Linked DNA regions of Rattus norvegicus. The protein of the gene in region 1 purifies or fractionates together with the protein of each later gene. This does not show direct contact. Links are inferred from orthologs where the notes say so. Each region holds a gene or a part of one and is shown on either strand. Other genes may lie near its edges.

The links. The genes of interacting proteins can lie anywhere in the genome.
Region 2: the proteins of Cdc42bpb (region 1) and Fam167a purify together in Homo sapiens (co-immunoprecipitation; 3 studies listed by BioGRID and IntAct, counting the BioPlex papers as one, with this or other methods). This does not show direct contact. The link is inferred for Rattus norvegicus from reciprocal best matches to the Homo sapiens genes CDC42BPB and FAM167A.

What each region holds. Positions count from the first base shown.
Region 1 is NC_086024.1:136,234,768-136,239,088, forward strand, and holds the start of Cdc42bpb (serine/threonine-protein kinase MRCK beta), read right to left. Parts: upstream 2,804-4,321; 5' UTR 2,716-2,803; coding exon 2,541-2,715; intron 1-2,540. UniProt on the Homo sapiens protein: Serine/threonine-protein kinase which is an important downstream effector of CDC42 and plays a role in the regulation of cytoskeleton reorganization and cell migration. Regulates actin cytoskeletal reorganization via phosphorylation of PPP1R12C and MYL9/MLC2.
Region 2 is NC_086033.1:41,886,847-41,889,391, reverse strand, and holds part of Fam167a (protein FAM167A), read right to left. Parts: intron 1,067-2,545; coding exon 803-1,066; 3' UTR 1-802.

The DNA of each region.
Region 1 (4,321 bases):
ACACACACACACACACACACACAAAGGCACAGCATTTCCAACTTTTAATCACAGTCCGGAACTTCATGGAGGAAACCCGTCGAATGACAAACATCATCAGAGGCAAGGTGAGGACCGCCCTGCAGTGAGGCACCCAACACAAACACCGCGGGTGGGTGGGCAGGCGGCTGCGGGAGCCAGGAGCCACCTTTACACCTTAGAAACTTTTTATTACTTTTGTTTTCCAGATTTCTCAAAGATTTCCCTTAAGTTTCCTCACAGCTGAGCTGATTGTTCCCCTTCCTAAGATCCAAGAACCTACCTGCTGGTCACTAAAGACTGGCCAGGACCTGTGTGGTGGGACAAATTGGCTCTCAGAGACTTCTAAGCAGGCAGAGTGAAGTTAGGTCAGTGCTCTGGAGTGGTCTTACTAGGAGGACCACTCTTTGTCCTGTCACCAAACACACAGTGACTGCAAGTGCCTTTGCTGGTAACACCCCACTTCAAGGTTACAACAGGGCACACAGGAACATATGGAAGAGTACCTGGCAGTCTAAACTATGGTACGATTTCACTAACATTCTATCTTGTGTTTAAGAATGTTCTGTTCTAATATTTGGTTTGTGTTGTTCAGGGACACTCTCAGATAGCCCACGCTGTCTTCAAACTCAATAATGTAGCTGAGGCTAACCTTAGCCTCCTGTCTCTGCCTCCCAAATGCTGGGATTACAGGTGTGTGCGCGCCACCACAGCTGGTTTGCTCTTAATTAGAAGCTGATAGTAGGAACTGGGCTAAGAGGGTAATTTATTTGTGAGTTTTTCTTTTTTTTTTTTTTTTCGGAGCTGGGGACCGAACCCAGGGCCTTGCACTTGCTAGGCAAGCGCTCTATAGCAAGCGCTCTACCACTGAGCTAAATCCCCAACCCCAAGGGTAATTTATTTGTAATCACAATTTCCAAGAGCCAAAAGACAATTTTAAAGCTCTGTATACACTATAGCACGCAGCTTCTGTTTAGATTCAGAAAGGTCAAATATTACAAAACCTGCCCTCTCCACATGCAGAGCAGAGCAGAACGCCCTCCCAGGGAGAGCACCCAGCCTTCTGCACATCCAGTCCTGGTGCTCCCCAGGTCCTAGACCAGAAGACGCCTGGACCATACCTCCTGAGGGAAATGGCCCTTCCTTCTCTCTGCAACTCCCCTGCTCTGACGGCCCCACTGCCTGCTGCATCACTCACACACAGGGCGCCAGCTGAAGGTGGAACTGCCTAGATCTCCAGGGCCAGCGCTAAGATTGGCAAATCCAATATTGAGGAGTCTCAGATTGCAGAGTGCACTTAAGACCTCACTTTCAAAGCAACCCTGAAGCCACTGTCCAAGTGTAAATCGTGTCACCGATAGCCTCCGGAAAGCCAGTCCTCTCTCATCTATGTGACCAAGAGCAGGGGCCCTCACAACAAAGCCCCCATGACCTCCTGCTCCCAGCATCTGCGGCAACATCTCACTGAACAGCAACCAGGCAGAAGCCCTCCAGAGATGAGCCATGTCCAAGTCTCACACACAGTTCTAGATTCCAGTCGGCAATGGGGGAGGAGCAGGCCTCCGTGTCGAACACATTTTATTTCCTCGTGTAAACATCAACTTTATCTGTACCAAAGATTAGAGATGACTGGTTCAAACTGCACGGCCTTAACCCAATGACGAAAGCAACCAAGGGCAAGATTTACAGAGCTGGACCTGAACCTAACCCACACTTCCTCTTACTTAGTCCTTGTGAGGGAACTGAGGGTCTCAAGCGGAGTTACTGTTAGGATTGGTTGAAACCTTACACTCTGACCTGTCTTGGGAACTGTCAATGAATGACTCCAATCAAGCATTTGTACCACTAAAGCGCAAAAGGGTGTCCGACCTATGGATACTGCATTAGATCCCTAAATGAACCGAATACCCAAGATCAGAGGTAGAAGTTTTTAAGTGACAGTTCTAACTGCCCCCCCCCGACCCCAACACACACAGCCCGAATTATTACGAGTCTGACACGATTACAATTCGGTAGTTGGGGTGGGGTGGGCTTTGGCCTAGTGTATTTGAAATAAAGCCTTTAACATTTAAAATTCGCTTGGAGGTGCTAAAAGAAAGGGATATTCAGGCCCTGGACATCAAGGGGAGGTGGACAGGCTGTCACCTGGGTGGAGCCCTAGGGGCTGGGCTGTGGGACGATGCATTCGGAAGGCCCACCGAGCAAGGGCGGAGGGTGAGGAGATGCAAAAGACACAGGGGCTGCCCTCCCACCCGGCAGAGCCTAGGGCTGGGAGGGGTAGCTCCAGGCCCGACTCTGGACCCCAAAGGCTAGTCCGGGGCGGGGGCAGGGCGGATATCCCAGGGAGCGCTGCAGGAAATGATATCCAGACTCGGAGGGTGGGTCTAGGAAGCGGCCAGGGCGATGGCCGGGAGTGGGGGGGAGTGCGAACGGAGGATGTGGCTCCGGAGCGCAGGACCAGGGAGGCCCGGCGCGGGTCCGAGGAGTAAGAGGCGCAGGGGGGCGAGCGGCACCTTACTCACCCCACTCGAGGAACTCCGCCACATACTTGTCGCGGCGCAGCGCCGAGTGGCTGCACTCGGTGTAAAGGCACACCAGCACGTCCAGCAGCGTCTCCACGCTCAGGGAGCTCTCATTGCGCCACGGCCCGTCCAGGAGCAGCTGCTCCAGCTTCTTGAGCCGCACCTTGGCCGACATGGTGCCGCGCGGCCCGCTCCCCACGCGCCGGCCTCTCGCTGCCCGTGCGCCCCGGCGTCAGAGCCAGCACTCCCCGGCCCAGCGGCCGTGCACCCCGGCGTCCAGTAGCCGCGCAGTCCTTGTCGTCGCAGCCCGGCCTAGGCCGACATCTTGGGCTCCGTCCCGGCGGCACCGAGTCTGGGGCACCGGGCCCCGCGGGTCCATGGGCCGGTCTCCTCCCCTAGGCGCCGCCCGCACGCCCGCACGCCGTCCCCGCCCTCAGCGCCTGGCCGCGCCCTCCCGCGCTCCGTCACCGACCCGGACCGTGGCGGAGCCCAGCACCGCGCAAACCCGGCCGGCGCCCGAGCCTGACCTCAGCCCGGCCGGCCGCCCAGCCCGCGACCTGCAAGCCAACCAGGGCGCGGCCAGCGCGGCGCAGCCAACCACCGCGGGGCCGACCGCCGCCGCGCTGACCTCAACGCGACGCCCCGCCCTCGGCCCGCAACGATCCGCCGCTCTTTGGGCCTCGCGATTCGCCGTAGGAACGGTGTGGGGCGGGGTGCCCAGTGCGAAACCGAGATTGCGGGTGGCGCACGCGCATAGGAGCGCGGGCGGGGCGGCTAGCCAGGCTGTGTGTGCCCTAGGTCCCATAGTTCGGCTCTGTTCTCGGGCCTCCGGACCGACCCTCGTGGCCGAGCGGCCTCGAGAGCATCGCTGCTGGGTTTCGGTTGAGCTTGTCCGAGATGTGGACGGACAGTGCCCTGTGCCCGAGTGCGCACAGGAGACGCGGGTGGGGCACCTGCCGAGAGGCTCCGGGATCCGCTGGACGCGCGCTCCCCACTAGGCAAGCGCCACTGGGAATGCGCAGTGCCCTGCCTCGTCTGTGCAGATTCTACCTCCTGACTGATTATTAGGCTGTCCACCCGGTGGGGAGTAGACTGTTGCCTCGAGGCGAGTCGCCGCGTTTGCTCGATTCGGCGGCTGAGAAGGTTGATGTAAAAATATCCCTTACGACAATCCCCCAGCCTCCGCAGAGGAGGAGCCCTTTGTAGACCCCAAGGTTGCTTCAAAAGAATGGGGGCTTGTGGTGCAGTAGAGGAGGGGCAGGTGGGGTTTGGAAGCCGGAAGCTGAGAGGAGCCTGAGGCAAAACGCTGGGTGGAGGGCCGAATGGCGACTCACGCGCAGGAAGCGACTGAAGAGTCCCTGGAATGATGCATGACTTGATTGGGGATACGAGGCACACATACAAGCCTCCACGCTGTCTTCAAAATTCACGCGGGTCAATATGCGTGTGCATCTAGCTTAGTTTTCAAAACGCAGGCAAAATAGCCCAGTGTAGTAGGTTGGATAGAGCGAATCTTCGTCAGACCTTTATTATTGTGAGGGAATCTATACGATATAAAGTATATTCACGAGTTACTGCATGTATGTGATGCCCAGTTTTTAAAACTTAAAATGAAAGCCCAAGAGAATCGTCCTACCCAAAACTAGAATCTAAGCACTGTTAGTAGGACAAAGACCCAAAGTAGTCTGACCAGACAACTGCATTTTCCCCCTGACAGCCCCCATGCTTCCTCTTTGTCCCGTAAGTTTGCTCATGAGTGTTTTCTCTGGCCGGCCCTGACA
Region 2 (2,545 bases), on another chromosome or scaffold:
CTGTAGGTTCACTTGTGGGAATCTATATCCTACCTTGCCTAGTTTAGCCACCAGTGGCCAGTGGCCTGCTAGGTATTCTCCAGGGTTATGGGTGGCAGTGAAGTAACTGAAGTGATTGTGCCGGAAAACAGTAGGACATCTGGGTCGCTCTACCAAAGCTCTACAAAGTACATGTGTCATATGTCATGGAGCAAGCTGGAAATAACATGGCCTTGTGGTGTCAGGGCTGAAGTTCAAAGTAGCTGGGCAGAGTTCCTTCCCAGGGATGCTGGCAGCCATGGAAGAGAAGCCTGCTTTCCCACGTGTCACCTTGTTATTCCTTTAAGTTTTCCTGTCCTACCACATCTCTGCCGAGTCTCCTACTTAGGGGCAATTAGAGCTAGCACTAAGAAGGTGGTAACAGAACATGAGAGATGGGAATAATTTACATAATCTAATAATCTCAGCTCCCCTAGAGTAGAGTTTTCTATAAGAACAAGCTTTGGCAGGGGTATGGGAGGAGTGTCCCCTATGGGATTCGACATCATAGCACCAGTGATTCTAGGACACAGGAAAGAGGCCACAGAGGGGAAGGCCACAGGGATCCTGCTGAGAGCCCTGTCTTACGTAGTGTCTGTGACTCTTTGGGTCTGGAACACGAAGACCCAGGTATAGAAAGCTGAAGCCCCTGGCATACTACCACCAGGTCCTGGTGCCTTTCCCTCCCCAGCATGGCCTCAGGGAGACCCACTTTGGGTAACTTGGTCTGAGCCCCCTCTCTCTTTCCCCCTTGACTCTGGTTCCCATTCCATCCCAAGGCTTCTCAGCAGAGAGAGAACCTTCTGGAGTTGATGTTCATTTTGGTGACGCCAATGAGCTTGAGCGGGGTGGAAAGGCTGAAGGAGGCTGCCAGCGGGGAGTCGCAGAAGAGGTCGGACAGCTCGTCCCGCTCCTCCAGCTCAAAGGCAGCATCATTGAGCATCCTCCTGTGCAGGCGGCAGGTCTGCTCGATCTTCATTTTGTTGATGTCTCCTCGGAGGCGCATGAGCTGCCTGGCCAGCTGCTGGTCCTGGAGCCGCATCTCTGCCTGGAACGGGAGAGGACAGACTCCAGTCAGCAGAGTGCCTGGCAAGCACACGTAGCTCTGTATGTAAACTCTGCTGAGGACACTCATTAATAGGAATCCTAACTGACGTCATGGATCACTGACGGATCCATCTGGCAGCAGGCACACATCCTGGCCCAGAGAGGTGAAAGGACACTGACTGCAGTGGAGTGGGAGGGCGTTGTTGCCCGATGAAGCTTTGTGCCAGGCTAGCAGCTATGTCTAAATCTCGCTCTGTGCCAGTCCTGGCTTAGAGCTGCTTTCCATCCACTCTCACTCTTTGGTGTCCAAGGGGGATATTCAGATGGAGGAGACTTCAAGAGTAATAGACACCAGATTTGGTGACATAGCTTCTGGGTGGGAAGGGGGATGTATGGGCTGGACAAAGGGGGCTTTCTACCGTGACAGTGCCAGTTAGGTCATGTATGTGGGCTGCCATAACATGTTCTATTAATTATTTGAAAGTTCATACATTTTATAATGTATCTTGATCATATCCATTTACTACCACCTTCCTCCAGCTTGCCCTAGTACCCGCCCACTCTTACAAAATCCATGTCCTCAAAAACTAAAACAAAAACAGAAACGCTGACTCCAGTTAGTCCTGCCCATATACAAATGGGTTTGGGGCCATCTACTGGGGCATGGGATAGTACCAGTGGTCATGTTCTTAAAGAGGTGTGGCTCTCCCTCCCTCTGCAGTCTGCTATTTTTTTCTTTCATCAGATGTTACCAATACACATTTTCTTAAAACAAAGGTTCCTAAGAGCCAATCAAAAAGTGAGCTGGTATTTATTCGCTGTTTTACTATGAACCAGACAAAGCTAACACACTAGAGCTAATCCTCACGATAGCCTATGAAGTGAAATTCTTACTATGTCACAAGTCACAGATGGGGACGTTAAAGTCAACTATCAAAAGGCCCTTGGTGGTAAAGCTAGGATGGGAGCTCACGAGACCGACAACCCAGTTCTGCCCCTTAGGGAGAGGGCGTCTAGGAGATAGAGCTGACCAATGCCGGGGGCACCCTGGAGAGGGTTTCTGATATTTTCAGCACCTCTGTTTCCTATTAAGAAAGGGATGCACTGCGAGCAGCTCTCAGCAGTACTTTTCAAAATCCATCAAACCCTGTGGTACCTCACAGTCTCCCCAAGGTACCTGCTGTGAAGGTCTATATTTTGCAAGTCAGGATACTGGAACTCAGAAGGCTTCAAGGTGTCCCTCAGCCAGTCACCCAGCTGTGACTTGGCAGAGAAGGAAGGCAACTGTGGTCTCGCTAGGCTTCGCAGGCAGCCAGTTTCCCATTAACCAAGCTTTGTCACTGACAGGCCACCAGCTGTTCCTACTTGACCTGAGACCCAGTCCCTCCTGCCATTTACTCTGCCCACGCCAGCAAGTGGCTATTGTTTCAATACTTGTGTGTCCTCAGACTCAGCTCTGTGGCCTACCAGGTCCCTGGAG